2 linked regions of the Coturnix japonica genome follow. The protein of the gene in region 1 purifies or fractionates together with the protein of each later gene. This does not show direct contact. Links are inferred from orthologs where the notes say so. Each region holds a gene or a part of one and is shown in the gene's direction. Other genes may lie near its edges.

Region 1 (9,391 bases):
GATTCAAAGCTTTCTGTTATATAAAATGATACTTTCAATTCATGACGGAAAAAAATCATAGTTCAACTAGTGGTTGATTTCAATACGTTCATCCAGAAACAACTAAGATTTACAAGATACAAAAGAACCAGCTTCAGGAATCCCAAGGTGAATGTCATTGTTTGGAACATTTCATCGCTCTTACATGGGACTTTTGACTTAAGTTTAAAAAGTAGTATTACAACAAGTAGTTCTGTGCCATATATGTATTTCTCTATTTTAATAAAGTGAGATAAATGAACTCAGGATCTAAACTGTGCAGTCGCTCTTTCTGTGCATGCAATCCCTGTCTTTATTTTGCTTTTCCAGTTGGCAAATACACCTTTAAGTAATTAAACGCTACACAATTAGACCACTCTTTCAGTAGGGCTCCAGCTAATGTTTTCGAAGTCTTAATCTTGGCACAATGTTTGAAAAAATTTTACACTAATTAATTCTTTCTCATAGAGTTTGGTTTGTTTTTGCACCTGAACATCTTAAGGAAATGATCGGCCATGCTTGCTCTTGTTGAGCAATGCACTATTTTCCAAGTAATCCTGTTAAAACCGGTGGCATCTCTTCCAGAAAAGGAGATGAATCAGGAAGGGAAATAGCATATTCCACCCACCTTCTGAATAAAACAAACAGCAGATCACCCCAAATCCTTGATACTATGTTAAAGCTGCTCCCGTAATGCCAGATCTGAATGGCTGAATTTTGTTGTCTATGACTGGATTAATGTTTTTATCCATCTAATCCTCCCATTCATTTTGGTACCATAATTCTAAATATTCAGCTGGTTTAATCCTATCAGAGAATGATTGTCTTCACCATTTTTGTCATGAAAAGCAGGTAAAGAAGGCAGAGATTCCTGGATTTGTGTCTTTTTAAGGTGCCTATCCATATTTTGATAAAAATAAAGAACAAGTTAAGGAGACCCTGCTGATCATATCAATTAAATCTCAGGCTCCTTCTTTTTTCCCCCATAAACATGTATTTTACCATTGAAGTGAATCACGCCTAGCATTATACAGTCCTCATCAAACTTTAATTTTGTTACATTATTGCGACATTAAAGAGGGATTTTTACAGTTCTACTCATTTCAGACAAATCAGAAGGCAGTAAATAACTCCTGCTGGCCAGCAGTACCTTTGAAAGAGACCTGGACAGATATGATGACTGTCGTGCAGCTCAGGTGAAGATACAGGATAGCTGAAAGGACATAGAAAAAGCAGTAACTCAAGTAACTCAACTCAACTCACAACTGCTGTATGTTGAAGTGGTGAATCCTGCAACAGTCATACTCTTTTAACTTCGGAATTTGAGACTTTCTGCTTTCCCTGCAAGGATGGAAAAAAAGGAAATTTGATTAAAGTGACCCAGATTTTGAAATTAGCATGAGTTGCCCAGTCCTTATCCCAAGCACTGCATTGCTGCTTGTTTCTTATGAGTTAATGCAACTTAATACAAACATGAAATATTCACATCCATTCTTCAGAATTCCCTATAGCTGGTATCTTAATTTGACTGCAGAAAAGACGGCTACTCAAAGCAGGCACTACCAGACAAATAATTATACAACCTAAGGGATAAACTGCAAATCTTCTGATGGATTTGTCTTCTCTTGTCTCATATACTGGGTTTAGCTACCATCTCAAGTTCATAAAATGATTTTCATGAGTACTTGGATGTCTATCTGACACAAGACAGTAAAGAAATTACGCCTCCATGGCTTCTTCTGGGAAGTTCTACAGTGGATGAAAGCAGGAGCATTTGGTCAATCATCTGCAAGTAGCTGAAATCTGCACATGCAATTTAGACTGGTAAATAATCTCAATTTAATTTTCTTTTGTTTTAGAAAATCCATTTATTCACATCAGTCCATGAAAAGAGATAAAGAGATCACTATATATGGCTTTCCCTAGTCCTTATATTACTCAGAATGATTTTCGGGTGACTTTAGATGTTCTTCCAGCAGAAAATGGAATTCTATACACAGGCATTTAAGTATCTGTGACCTAAAAAAGAAGGAAGCAGACTGTGTCATGCAATGCAAACCTGCACACCATGTGGTCCAGTACTCAGCTAGGGAATCATAGAATCATAGAATCACCAAGGTTGGAAAAGACCTAAGAGATCATCCAGTCTAACCGTTCACCTATTACTAATAGCTCCCACTAAACCATGTCCCTCAACACAACATCCAGTCTTTCCTTGAACAAATTAATTTCCTTTGGACTGGAGAACAGTCCAAACCACTCTCAGCTTTTCCCTCTCACCACCATCTGTACCAACACACACAAAACGTTGCACCGATCCCTTAATTTCACCTGCAAGGGATGCAAGGGAGGGTTTTGACACCAGGAAAACAAATGATCTCCCAACAAATACAATTGGCAGAGCTCTCATATGCTGCGCAGCTGGACAGCACACAAGTGATCTCCCAGTAGATCCAATTGGCAAAGCTCTCCAGTGCTGTGCAAGTGGACAGCAGAGCCCACAAGCACTGCGCAGTGGCATTTGTTCAGCCCTGACTCATAGACAGACAACAGCCACCGGATGAATCACCAGCAGCGCGGTCCGTAACACCTAACGAGGTGGCTCATCCAAATATCGATCAGGCCCCAGTCTCTCCAGCTTTGGAGATCTGACAAACCACATCGTAGGATGCTGCTTCCAATGGTGAGTTCTGGAAGAGGGGCCTTCAGTGAGCATCCAGGATGGCAGAGTTCAATTGGTGCACCCTTGGGCTATCTTCTGTGTGCCATTAAGCTGTAAAAGTGCTCTGAGCACAGCTGATATGCAAGAGAAATAGCAACTGATTAACTCAATAGCTGAGAACTTGAAGGCAAATGAACAGAAGCGCTTTATGGAGCAGCTCATTCTGCTCAGCTCGCTGCTGCAGAAGGTCATTAAGCCCAATGCTGTAGGAAAATCATTTCGATCCACAACGGCTGAAAAAGGACAGACGTTAAGCAAAAGAGAATCACCAATTAGCATTCGGGACATCAGCTGGGCACTGCAGGTGTTGCAGGAACACACTTCCTCCTTACAAAAGCAGCTGGAGAAGATGCTTTATTTCCCTTTTTCTCTCACCAGCAGCACGCTGGACACGGTGTGTATGGGCACAAACACCTCAATGAGGAGGGGTCAGACCCACGACCCCCACCCAAGGCCGGGAGAGGTGAGTGAAGAACCTGCCCCACAGGCCCCGCCCCCCGGCCGGGAGCAGCTGTCCGCGCAGGCGCAGTGCGCATTGGATCTAACTGCCCCCTCGCGGCCCCTCCCAGCCCTCCACAAAGATGGCTGCCGCGCTCCGCCGGGCGAAGCGGAGGGGAGCGCTGGGGCTGCGGGGAGGAGGCGGCGGAGACAGCGCTAGCGGCGGGGGCCAGTGACAGGTGAGGGAAGGGGGAGGGGAACGGAGGGGTGAGGCAGGTAGCTGAGGGGCGGGCAGGGGGTGGGGAACGGCCGGCGAAGCGCCGCCCCTGCCCGAGCTGCGCCATCGGGAACTCCCCCCGCTCCCCGCCCTGCAGCCGCTGCCCGCCGCCGGCGGAGCTCGGACCGTTAGCCCGGGGGACCATGGCGGTGAGTCGGGGCGGGGAGAGCGGCCGGACCGTGTGTCCGTAGGGAGGGAGTGGGGAAACTTTCCGGCGGGGTATGTGTGTGTGTGTGTTGGGGGGGTCCCGCTGCTGGGAGGGGGCGGCTGGGAGGGGCCCGAGCGGCGCTGACAGGCGGTGGGAGAAGGGAGGGAGGCTCCGGCACCGCGCCGTGCCCCGCAATGGGGTCGGGGTGCTGCTCCGTGTGAGGGCTGTGCCGCCTCCTCCCCGCTACCTCAGCGAGTGCTGCCCGAGTGTTCGTGTCTGTCCCTTCTTCCCCGAGTATCGCAACGGGTTGAACCCAAACTGAAAGTTTTGGCGGCTTGCGGGCAGCTGGAAAGTGAAACCAGCGAGAAGCAAAAACGAAACTTTCCAGCTGATTTTTATTGCGAGAAGTAAATAAGCAGAAGGTCGGTGGCACGTAGAGCGGGTGGGAACGAGGGGTCCACCTCCCGACGGGTTGGTAGTTTAATCTATCCGAGGCGATATACGGAGTGTCAGAGTGTCAGGCTGCTTCCAGAACAGCTGGTGCCGTGAAGTCATTCCTGGGAAACGCTCTTTGTACCGTTTACGTCTGTGTTTGATTGGATGTGTAAGTGCCTTAAATCAGCCTTGAAGGCTTCGGATCTCACAGCAGCTTGTCATTGAACGTCTGGTAGCGTTGGTTTTAGCAGGAGTAGAAGCGAGCCTGTCTGAGCTTCCAGCTTGTTTTGTTGTTATGACAATAGGTAACTTTGTGTTTTGTGCAGCCCAGCTATACGGAAACGTTGCTGTAGCCATCATGGATGTGTGTATATTCCATGACAAGTAACAGCGTAAATCACAGCAACTCAGCAGCCCTTCACAATCAGCAAGTGCAATCGGTGGCATTTTAGCCATAGTTTTAAACAATTGTGAAGTCCAATCAGTTGGGGAGTGTCGAAGTAATGAGCTTTGATGTGGGGAGTAGGCTGTGTGCATGTGGAAGCTGGAGGTACCTGCGGAGCTCAGTATTGCAGGTTGGGTAGGGGTTGTGGTAACTGGTTTTCCTACTGAACACACAGGGCAGTGGGAGGGTGCAGATCAAGCCTGGGAAGATGATGTTGTGGTCTCGATTTGCTCTGTGTGTGAAGAGTGCACGCAAGTTGTAGAATCATTTAAGTTGGAGGAAGAAACCCCGCTCAAGTTTAGTCCAGCCATCAACCCATCCCCACCATACCCACTAACCACATCCCTCAGTACCACATCTACACGTTTATTAAGCACCTACTGGGATGGTGACTCCACCACCTCCTTGGGAAGTTATTTTGACTCTAGGTCTGAATGTGGGACTTATTTTGGCAGACTGCACCCGAATGGTTTTCTTGCTGCCTTTTTCCGGGGGAAGTGTGGGAATTTACATTGTGAATCACTTACACAAGGACTGTCAGGCTTTGGCTACTGAAACCTGGGTTGAAAGAGACAGTTCTGACCTCAGGAAGCCTGGTACTCAGCAGTGTGTTCACTTGGTTAGGGTGGGAGCAGTCTGCTTTGGGCAGTCACAGGCTAATTACTCCAGGAGATAACAGTAAATGGAATCAGATGAGTGTCTCAGGGCTTTCAGAGCAGGTGGAGACCTTCTGAGGCTTTCTTCTGTTGTATGACACACTCTGTGTAAGAGTTACTTGAAGTTCTGGTCTTTACACACAATGCTGAAGTTATCTAATTTCATCTTAGTGGCATCTTGACCTTTTTCAAACTATGAGTTTCCACTGCTTTGTGAACGTAAAGGCTTTTGATTTTCATTGGTAATAATGTAATGGAACTGCAGTAACTTGAATTATGAATCAGACCAATAACTCATCTGCTTTGGGCTGTGAGTTCTGCGGATCTTGGGATGCTTTTGTTTGTTATTCTTTGCCTTGTGGCCATTTAATTTAGCTTGAATTTGGATCTACGTCAGTGTTATGATGATGATTGTTCTGGCTCGAGATACCTAATGGAGATCCTTCCTAATTGTTATTGCAACTTTAACTACTTGACTGAACGTGCTACTGCAACGTTCTGTCATAGCACTTAACTGGGAAGCCAAAGCCTTGAAGCCTGACTGCAGGGAAGGTACAATTTTTCAGCATGGTCAATACTTTTCCCTAAATGGTTCTAACTTCTCAGTGCTTTTATGCATCTCACTATTTTAACTTGCTGGCAGGTAATTTCTGAAGTAGTGCGTGCCAGGTATTAGAGAAGACAGCTTTGATGAAGCTGCAGGCCTGCTTCCTAGACAGTATTGTTGTCTGCAGCCATCCCTGTGCTTTGTCCCTGCCTTGTGGAACCTGAGGAATTCCAGTCTGCCCTCCAGCATCCAGCAGCTCTGCACCTTTTGTTTGACCTCCAGCTTCCAATTGTGAAGGGATTTCTAGTTCAATCTCTGCTCAAGCGTCTACAGGTAACATGTCATGTTTCATTGGTGCATCTCTATGATCTGAAATATGAGTTGGATTCTCTTGGTTCTATCTGTCAATAACACCTCTCTATTTTATCGTCCATTTCTTTAAGACTATTGGCTGAGGAAAATTTTCAGGCAGTTTGTAGTGAGGTTCTGCTTAGCTGCACTTTATGGTGTCGAGGTGAATTGTGAGAGCCATTGCTTTTCCTGTAAGACCAGATGTAGTAAAAACAGATTTGACTTGGATTGTCAGTTTTTTCAGCTTAACTAAAAGATACCGCTGGTAGATGAAGAAAGTGATAATAGTTTGGAATGAGTACATAACAGCTATTTTTGTACAGTAAACACAAATAATGTTTACTTTGCTCATGGGGCCAATGTTTCCCGAGCTGCAGAGATGAGCACTTTTTCCTTCTGTTTTGCCGAATACATTCAACTTTGAGCTTCCTTAATGCTGGTGTTCGCTTGATGCCAGCATGGAAACACTCTTAACCTTTATCGTAAACATGTTTATCGATACACGTTGTGCTTTTGCTTATGGGCAGCAGTGTTTTGGATCCCCATCCAGGGGGTCTGTGTTTTGTAGGGCTGATGGGGTAGAAGAATGCTTAGAAAGTGTCTGTAACACTTCATAGCGCTGCATGTTTCTGGCAGGCTGTCGTCTTTAATTGTTCCAGTCAATCTGCATTTAGTTTCAGGTTGGACAAATGTTTTTGAAGTCTGCCTCCCACCCCTAAGATCTGGTCCTGTTCCAGCTGTGCTTCCATCATGTATTTGTGAGCCTGGAACCAGTGAAAATGTTTCTGATGAGCTGTCATATACTTTTTTGACAACATGGAAATAGAATTTAACATGCCATTCTGTCAATAACAAACTGTAATTCATAGCTAGTGCCTTAATATTGAGTGAAGGTTGTGCTGTTATCCTTTGCTGGTGTATTGGTGTATTCCTTTCAATACCTGAAGGGAACTTACACCCAGGAGGGGAGTAAACTCTTCGAAAGGGCTGACAATAGCAGGACATGGGGAAATGGTTTTAAGTTAAAAGCGGGAAGATTTAGGTTGGATGTTAGGGGGAAATTCTTCACTAGGAGAGTGGTTAGGCCCTGGAACAGGCTGCCCAGGGAGGTTGTGGATGCCCCGTCCTTGGAGGTGTTCAAGACCATGTTGGACGGGGCCCTGGGCAACCTGATCTAGTAAATGTGTATGTTTGGTGGCCCTGCCAGGCAGGGGGTTGGAAGTACATGATCCTTGAGGTCCCTTCCAACCCAGGTCATTCTGTGATTCTGCGTGATTCTGTGGTGTAAAATGTATTTCTGTTTGCTGCAGAACTTCAGGGATGGAATATATCCTCGTGCTTTCCAAACACTTTACTAAAACTTTAATGCCACGTTCATTGCCAATGTCTTCACAGTGCCTCTCAAACAGAGCCAAATAGACATACTGGGCCCGATGGTTGTGCTGTTCCAAAGCCAACTTTGGCAGGCAAACTCAACTGTGGTTAACATTGTTACTCTTGGTACCTTGTGTGCCAAACGCAATCCCAACAGGAGTTTGGCATAATGGTAGGAGTGCAGAGTATACTCTGACCTTCCTTGCAACATTGTTCTAAAGTACATAGGACAAAGTAAGAGTTGCAAACCTTCATTTAAGAGCAATGGGAAAATGTTCCACTTGACTACCTGCTTAATTTATACGTAAAGAACTATCGAAATATCTACAAGTTTTCAATGCGAGCTTAACCAGTAAACTTAATTCTTACAATCTGTCACTGAAAGAGAAGATCAGCGCTTTCTAAGGTGTGGTAAATCTCTTCTGCTTTCTAGAAACACTGAAGTAAGTCCTCCTTCCTTAGCAGTACATGACTTTCTGTAATATAATGTAAAGAAAAGTGCTTTGCAGCTATGACAGGTCACAAAACTGAACTGATGCACTCTGTGATTTATGAGGAGGAAAAGAACCTCAGAACAACCAGCAAACAGGAAAACAACCCTACTGATGGATGTATGGGAAAGTGACAAGGTCCTAAAGGATTTGTACTGTGACAGCTGTGAATAGCAGCGGGATTCAGGTAACTGAAGGGAGTGAATAGAGTACGTGGCACAAGAGTGCCAACTTCACTGTCTGTATGGCAGCTCTTTCTGAATGTGCTTTGATTGTTATACGTGAGTTGCGTTTAGAAGTGTGAAGCTCGGTTCTTAGTGCCTTTTGATCTTGAATAACTTGAGGTGGAAATGAGCTTCACAAATATTTACATCTAGTATAAAGTGAAAACAAAACCTAACCAGTATAGTTTACATATGTAAATACTTCCTTGTAAGTGGTATTGAGTTTCCCCAGTGTGCAGATACAATGTCTGTGGTAAACAAAGAGTTAGTGTAAGATCCTACAAGCGTGGGGTATGGCCAGGCTGCTCTTTTTCCCATAGCTAATACCATATCTTATCCTTTGATCACAAAATAAATGCTGCCTCTCCAACTTGACAGTTTTCAGGCTGCAAGGTTTCGTTCTTTGGTGTTTGTTCTTTTGAGTGGGGGAGCTTTATCTACTCTGAATTGGCAGGAGGAAACTGAGATGTTAGCAACAAAACCATCATGGGGATTAACTTTACTTTGGGGTGAGGAAGCAATTGTAGGGCTGCAAATTGATTACTAATGATGAGCAGAAGTTTGCCTGTAGCTGCAAAGTAATCTGTAAGGTAAAAATGAGATGTCTTTATAGAAGCATAAGAAGTTCCAAGCAATAACAGGTGACATGCAGTGTCCTGGCAATGAGAGAGAACTGTGGCTGTAACTATTTGCTAATACTTCTATGTATCTATTAGTGAGCTGTTAGTGGACTTCTACAGTAAGAGCAAATGCAAGCTGCAAGAAAGTACTAGGAAAGGAAGACTGAAAAAGGCTGTGGAATACTGACTGTTGACAATTAGTCCTAGGTGTGCTGCTCTGCCTTTGCTGATCTTCCCCTTCTGTAGCTGCAGAGACTCCTCTGTTTATGGAGAACTCGGGCATCAATTGCACGTTTAACTCAATGAGTTGCCTTCACCTTAAGATGCAGTTGAACTGCATGTGTTACTCCTAGGGACGTGAAGCACCTGCCAGATTGGCTGCCTGTGGGCTTTTTTTTACTATTGCATTCACAAGTGCTATGCACTGATGCTAAAAAGAAATAGTTGATCTGTGTCCACTTATTCCTGTGCTTGGCAGGCATCTGTACGTCTGCACAGTGAAATGGCTCAGGGAGCTGATCTAGCTTAACGCTGGCCAAGTTTTGAAGAATATCTTAAAGCTCTGTTCTCCAGTTTAACTCACTGTGTTGTTGGCCAGTTGCTCATGGCAGTGCAGGTGGGAGCTGCTAGTACCAGTTAGCAGTT
Region 2 (7,836 bases), about 80 Mb from region 1:
GTCTCTGTGGGCAACTCCTGTCAGCTCTGATACATCTGGGATTATGCCTGAAGGATTGAGTTTAAAGAAACTTCTGTTTTATTCTGAACTAGTTATCTTAAGAATCCCGGTTTTGTTTGATGCCTGCTGAAGCTGATGTGATACAGCAACAGAGCTAATAATGCTGCAGCTTGTGCTCAGGGACAGAAATTGCATCCCTGGGGGTTTTGCTACCTTGCTGTGTGTCTGAGCTAGGATTCTTCTCCTCTCAGAGGAGGTGACAGGTCAAATGATCTGTTCAGAGGTTGAAGCTGGTAGGCAACAAGCAAGGAATAACAACAGCTACTGTTTATATCTTGCTTAAAAAGTGTTCCATACACTATCCTGATGCATGCTAGGAAAATACATGATTGTGTTCTAAACAGTTCTAGGTAGGCAAGAGTTAAGTAAGCTAAATCTGAATAGCCTGACCTTGGCAGTTGCAAATACAGCTTTCACAAGTGTTTGAGGTGGATGAACATGAAGCCTCGGTCCCCAGCTGTTATGGAGCACCTGGCCATTAGATAAAGCTGGAACACTTCAAAAGGGAAGGGTGTATTAATACAATTTGGAGTTGCATGACTGTAGAATATATGTAAGCATCCACATACTTCAAAACAAGTAACTGAAGCACAAGGGGATGAAGAGGTCAACTGTGACAAGACTCCTTCAAGTGCTCAAACTTGAACTAGTCAGTGAGGTTCTCAAGTCCTTATTGTAACGTTAACAAGTGTGCCTTAATCCCACCTGAATACATGCCAGCTCTTATGAACTTGTTTTCCCTTTGTAAATGAACAAAAGGACAGGGCAAGTATGAATATTTCCAAAAAGGTAGTTTACTTGTGAAATGTATCTGAAAAAGAAAGATTGCTTAGAGACTGAAGTGCATGTTGAAAAGCTATGTTATCTGTCTTTACAGCTGAAATTCTGTCCAGATGCTGAAGTTCTATAGGTTTTTGCAGGAGCCAGGTGGACTTCGCTCTTATTGTGTCAGAGCTATGTGCTGGGTTATTAAGAAAGGGAAAAGAAACTTCTATGAGAAGTCTTGTCTAGAACACATTAGTACTTTCAGTGGATTGGATCTCCAAGCTTTGAAACTAGTATCTGAATGTCTTTTACTGTCATGTTATTTGGAGAGAGGTGTTTGAGTTTTAGTTGTAATGCAACAAGTTCAGAGTTAACATTTGGAAGTGTTTTGTGCTTATGATTGTCACTTGCTTCAGCTGGTACTGCAGATGGTCTTGGAAACTTGGATGAAGTTTTTGCATTATTTGTTGGGGCTTTCCCTTTGGACCAAATTACTTCTATTCAATTCTTATTACTATGTCATCACTAAAGGACTCTAAACTTTGAGCCTATACCTGTGGGGCAGTTGAGAACCACTTCAGGTAGAAGGCTTGCTGTTAATCGTTAGCACGAACGATTATTTCTCTCTAGTTTATATGTGTAGACAGAAAGTGAAGCTAGGCAGTGCAAACTGAAAGTCTGACTTGTTTTTTGTTTCCTTCCCCCCTCTCCCACCCTCACTTCCTTACAGTTTCTTTGGAGAAGAAAAACCTTAACATGGCAAGCAAAGGAAGTAATACAGATTGCATGTCATGCAGTGTGCTGAACTGGGAGCAGGTCAGCCGCCTGCATGAAGTTCTTACAGAGGTGGTTCCAATTCATGGACGGGGTAACTTCCCAACGCTGAAGATAACTCTGAAGGACATAGTTCAGACCGTCCGGAGTAAGCTGAATGAAGCAGGCATTGCGGTACATGATGTCCGTCTGAATGGCTCTGCAGCTGGCCACGTCCTGGTCAAAGATAACGGTCTGGGCTGCAAAGACTTGGATCTCATTTTTCAAGTTTCTCTTCCAAGTGAGGCAGAGTTTCAGTTGGTTCGAGATGTGGTGTTGCGTTCCCTCTTGAATTTCTTACCAGAAGGAGTAAGCAAACTGAAAATCAGTCCAGTAACACTGAAGGAAGCCTACATCCAGAAGCTGGTTAAGGTGTCCACTGAGTCCGATCGTTGGAGTTTGATATCGCTTTCCAACAAACACGGCAGGAATGTGGAGCTGAAGTTTGTAGACTGCATCAGACGCCAGTTCGAGTTCAGTGTAGACTCTTTCCAAATCATACTGGATTCTCTGCTCTTTTACTATGATTGCTCAGAAAATCCCATGTCGGAGCACTTCCATCCAACTGTGATTGGGGAGAGTATGTATGGAGATTTTGAAGCAGCTTTTGATCACCTGCAGAACAAGCTGATAGCTACCAAAAATCCTGAAGAGATCCGAGGTGGTGGGCTTCTGAAATATAGCAACCTCTTAGTGCGAGACTTCCGGCCCATGGATAAAGATGAGATCAAAACATTAGAGCGCTACATGTGTTCCCGGTTCTTCATAGACTTCCCAGACATCCTGGATCAGCAGCGCAAACTAGAGACCTACCTCCAGAACCACTTCTCCAAAGATGAGAGGAGCAAATACGACTACCTCATGATTCTGCGCAGGGTGGTGAATGAGAGCACTGTGTGTCTCATGGGACATGAGCGAAGACAGACTCTCAACTTGATTTCTCTGCTGGCGCTCAAAGTGCTGGCAGAACAGAACATCATCCCTAACGCCACTACTGTTACCTGTTACTACCAGCCAGCACCGTATGTTAGTGATGTAAACTTCAGCAATTACTATCTTGCAAATCCTCCAGTGCCATATAACCAGTCCTACCCCACTTGGTTGCCTTGCAATTGATTGCTTCACTTGAGTGTTCTTCAGCAGAGGCTTCTAAAAGCTGAGTGTACATAGACAAATAATGGACATTTGTAGGTTTTCTAGTAAGTAAGACTGTGGACTAATTACTTCCTGGCTTGCAGTAGGAATATGCAACCAGGCAACCTGTGAAAAACTTCTTTGGTTCATCTCTACAAATGCCGAGAAGCCTTATTACCTCTTCACTGCGAGAAGAGAACCAGCAACCAAATATTAAAGGAATAGTTTCAGGACTAGGTACTTGTGTTGGAAGTGGCTATTAACTTGTCATCTAAGTGGAGTAATTCAGTAAACTGTGGTAGTTAATAGAGCTAAGACTGGGAAATTTATTGTGCAGAGCAGAAGCTGATTTAAAACCAAAACTTTTTGTTGACAAACCTCACTACTTTATACATCTTCAGTTCAGATTCTGGCCAGCTTCTTATTGAATTCTTGCGTAAGAGCTTAGGCTGCTTCTATTTGGCTGTGTGGAACTGGTTAGTGTATGGATAATGTCCCTCTTGTAGAGGGCCCAGTGGCTGTTTCCTGTAGTGCATGGGCATATGTGGTCCTGCCTCAAGTTGAAGGTTTCTTTGAAGCTGGTGATGGATTGATGAGCCTGTCTCTAAAAGCACGAGTTCAAGCTTATTGGTTTATCATAATAGTTTGGTCACTGTGTAACATGTGTTTCTGGGAGGTGAAATTCTTGATCTATTGTGGTCTCAAACTTTACTTGATGAGGTGTGTAACCTCTAAGCAGAGCTCTGTACAGATGCTGTATGTGGTGAAAGTTTGCCCCTAGTTTCAGAATAACCTCTGAAGGAGTATCTACTCACTTGGAGGTGCAGGGGGCTGAACTGCATGTGCTGAACTTTCTGCTTTGACACTTGTGTACTTCATAAGGATGGTTCTGTATGTAGCAGTACTAGAAACTGACTGGTAATACCTTAACTGGCAACTTTCACTCAATTGCAATAGTAAAATTCATACACTGTAAATGCTTCTGTTTTCTTTGTTTAATCAGAGAAGTAGACTAGAAAGACAAAAATTAGAGCTATTTAATATGTACTGGTGCAACGGTTAAGGATACTTAATTGTTAACTCCTATGTCTTCTTGCTGTCTCCCTGAGTGTATGAGACCAAAGTGCTGGATCAAACAGATGATTTAAGTCTAGAAAGAAAAGCAGATGGAATAAAACTACATGGTTGCTGTTAGATGTGAAGAGTAATAGCAGAGCAGCATTTACTTGGCAGTGGGAAGGACTGCCTGTTCTTAGTAGGACCAAAGGTTTCTTGTTATGTTACAGGCTCTCCTACTTTCTCGTAACTAATGCATGAAGGCCACCTTAGTGTAGCAACAAGGCACTTCTCACCTGGAATACTGACTACTTGGAAGGCTTTTCTTATAACTGATGTGATGTTGGTGTTGTCCTGAGGGTCAAAGGTAATGCAAGCTTACTGATGTAACGAGTTACTTCTGCATGCAGAGCAATACTTGGCGTATTACAGAGTATCACCAGGAGAAAGTTCTTTTGTTTAAGAACTTGTAATTGCTTTCATCCCTTAAATAGCTTCAACTGACTTTTTTGTTTTGTAAAGCTATGCCTGTTCCAAAAGTAAACCAAAACCATTGCCTAGAGGGACGAGTTTGATCTGAATATCAGCTTAGACTTGAGTCTTGTGGGATCTCATAGCTGGACTTTAGAAACTGTGTGTATCAGCTCATGCAGAAGTAGTAGTCAATACTGAAGAGGAGCCCTTATAAGTTTGATGCAAGTAATCTTTTTTCTTACTAGCCTTTGAATGCCTTGGCTGCTTAGTGTCAGGCCGGATGTGTCTACTGGGAAAAAAAGTGCTAGAATAAAGCTCTCCTGTGTTCCTTCTGAGACAGAGCTATGGGCACCTAGCTTCCCGCAATAAATATTTGTGCTCTTGGTGATGTAACTTGTTGCTGAGGCCTCCAAGGAAGCTTTGTGTAGAATGCTAGCTCTCTAAACAGCTGACTCCCTTGGTTTAAGCTTTGCAGGGCTACCGGGTCCGACATATTAAATTACTAATGCTTTTTAGCCTGGTTGTTAAGTTCTTGAGTAGTTAAACTGTAGCCTGTGGTTGCTTATTACTTACTCCATTGTCACTGAACAGAAGAAACAAAGTTACTGGGACTGCGTTCTGTGTCTCTTTGCCTTAAAATAATCCTACTTGGGCAGTTTAGACAGAGTTGAAATACAGAGTTGAATAGATTTGTCAGGGTGCTGCTTGCAGTCTACTACTTTCTGGTTTCAAATTGTTGTGGCAGCAGCTCAATCTGGTTGTATGCTAGTTGGGTTGTGATCAGTTTTACGAGGACCCTGCAGCTGGGAGTAATATGAGAATGAATGCTAAGGTGATGACCCATGGCCAAGTTCAGGGTGCCTGCTTCATTCAGTCTCCCTGAAGTGCTAAATGGCGCAAGCCTCTTCTCTGCTTGCTTCTGTATCAAGTAGAAGTTTGAGAGAGGCTGCTAAACTTCAGGCTGTTACCCCAGTGCATTCTTTCTAGGCAGTGCCATCATAGCAGAACTGCAGAAATACTGGACTGCAAGACTTGTATCAGCACATTGTTCCTGATGATTAGGCTTCTAGGAGACTAGACTAGTTTAAAATAGCAATTTTCTTCCTGTAGCTTAAACTCTGCAGGGCTAAGCCAGTCCGAAACATCTGTTTGTGAATATTCATCACCAAGTTCCCTTTAACTTACAGTTTATTGATACTACTTCCTCATTATAAGAGATTAAATCTTCTTTATTTGATAAGGATGCTACTAAAGAAACCTACCAGTGAAGTGCGTTTTAGTCATTTTCATTAGATCCCTGTGCTAACCACCATAGTTCTGAAAAGTGATAAGTTAAAGCATACCTTATGCTCCCTCAACTCAAGATGTAACTTGCTGTGCTTGTCTTCAGCTTGTTAGCTGTGACACTAAGCAGGAGATTGTGATAAATGGTTACTCAGAAGCAATCTTTTACCTTGAGTAGCCTGTCTACAGAGCAGAAGGTTTAAACCAGGTCTCAATTAGGACTTTAAGTATTTGGACTTATAGATATCCATATTTTTGGGCTGAGTTATGGGGTTGAGCATATGGTATGTTTTGTGCCTAGATATCATGGGATTCTAATAGAATAGCTGCTCATTCTTGGTAGTGAACTCTGCTTATCACTACACGAGAAGTCCAAATTACTTTAAGAGGCTTTCTCCAAACAAGTTACTTCAGTTTTAAACTGCTGGTGTGTTGATAGTGCTCGCTTAGTGAGAGGTATAAAAAACTAATGGAATTGGGTGCCGTAGTTGTTAGACGCAGGAATAAGCAATAAGCTGGTCATTGTTAGTAGCAAATGTGTGATTTGGGCACTGGGAGCCAAATGAATGGTAATACTTCTAGCCTTTGCATCTAAGTGTTGCTCAAACCATTACTGTCAGCTGTTAAATATGGTGAACTGTATTTCATATGGGCTATTTAATTCCAGTGGAACTCGCTCTGAGGTGGATTGCTGGGCTATATAGTTATAGAAGCTTTGGGAGTGGTTGGAACTCTCCAGCTTTTCTTCGTTACCTGAAGATGAAGCCACTTACTGAAGTGTTTGCATTGGGCTTGTCTCTCTTTCTGGTTAAAACCTCACGATTTGTTGAAATGAAAAAGCTTTTTTTCTGTTTATTTTTTTTTTTTTAATTTTCCTATCAGAAGTCAGCTCTTGGAAAATCTATCTTGAACCTGTTCTGGAAAAGTAATTTTGTTTTGTTTCTTTAAGCTGGCAGGATAAGATACTAGAAAGATTTCAATTTGCGATGAGCCCAATTGTGAGATTAGTTACAGTAACTACCTACTGTCCTGCACTGTGGTGTTCACTTGTCATCCTTGGAAATTGGGTTTTGGAGCTTAATGATACTGAAATAATTGTACAAATAAACATATGTGAAACACTCTTTGCCTCAAGTTATTTTTGCCTCTAAGTAGACTGGAATTGCATCCAGTGGCTGGAAATACCTTTGGAGCTTATTGTCTGTTCAAAGTACTATGAACTTCAGAAGGGCACTCTGGAAACCTTCTAGCTCAACTCCCTGCTTAAGTGGATTCCTTAGAATATATGCAATAAATACACTGTGAGGTGAAGAAATAGTGATGAATTTATACAGTAATGTTTTCCTCCTGGGCCCTCCTCAAGGAAGGAAGGCTTTTTATCATAAGTGTATTTATCAATCTCTTGACTGACTGAAGATTAGAAGTGGAATGCGATTAATCTTTTACTTAGTTTGTAGTGATGGTTTGTAGAGAAGCATTTGGTCAGTGTGGGTTGAACAGGTCAATGCTAAATAAAAGATAGGGGCATGTGGCAGTCTATTTGTTGCTCTAGATTCAAAAATAAATCTTCTATAAAAAGCATGCTTGACATGATGCCTTTGCTCAGTCAACCTCTACCCTGTTAGTTAAGTAACACTAGAGAAATTCCAGCCTTGAAGAGCTCGTAATGGCTGTAAGTGCAAGCTTCTGCAGAGACTAGAGTGTGCTATAGTACTATGAAGACAGTTATGAAGCTTGTGTAGTTGCAATTTCTTCCCCAGACTTAAATGGAGAACTGATAATCCAGCTGTACAAAAGCTGGATGGCACAGACCGTTAGTTTGTCATCTGAAACACTCTCAGCTCCTCAATTTATCTTGTGATAAAAGTTTCAGGGCTTTTTTTTTGTGTGTGTGTGTGTATTAGTGTGGGTATTAGAAGCACCAGTTATGTTCTGCTATAGCAACACTACTGTAACCTTCTGCTTTGGCTCAATGGTTTTAAAAAAAGCACCCTGTATCCTGTAGGTGAGGCTGCCCAGTGGAAGTAGTAGTCAACCTGCCAAACCTTAGTAGTAATTTTCCTAGCAGGAAGGAGTTGAGTCATCATGCTGGAAAACTAGTCTTGCCAAGACCCATATGCAAAGCAGCTGCTAGATGTGAACTATCAGCTTCAGCTCTGAAAATTAAGGAGAGTTGCACTGGCTGCTGTAGATGTTACCACATTAATTAACTAAGGGCTTTAGTAAACCAATAAGAACCAGTTGCCTAGG

What was found.
Region 2: the proteins of FNDC3A (region 1) and TENT5C purify together in Homo sapiens (affinity purification with western blotting; 3 studies listed by BioGRID, with this or other methods). This does not show direct contact. The link is inferred for Coturnix japonica from reciprocal best matches to the Homo sapiens genes FNDC3A and TENT5C.

The regions. Positions count from the first base shown.
Region 1 is NC_029516.1:151,230,220-151,239,610, forward strand, and holds the start of FNDC3A (fibronectin type-III domain-containing protein 3A), read left to right. Parts: upstream 1-3,282; 5' UTR 3,283-3,417; intron 3,418-3,483; exon of another isoform or gene 3,484-3,604; intron 3,605-5,898; exon of another isoform or gene 5,899-6,019; intron 6,020-9,391. UniProt on the Homo sapiens protein: Mediates spermatid-Sertoli adhesion during spermatogenesis.
Region 2 is NC_029516.1:70,988,960-70,996,795, reverse strand, and holds the end of TENT5C (terminal nucleotidyltransferase 5C), read left to right. Parts: intron 1-1,555; 5' UTR 1,556-1,581; coding exon 1,582-2,754; 3' UTR 2,755-6,708; downstream 6,709-7,836. UniProt on the Homo sapiens protein: Catalyzes the transfer of one adenosine molecule from an ATP to an mRNA poly(A) tail bearing a 3'-OH terminal group and enhances mRNA stability and gene expression.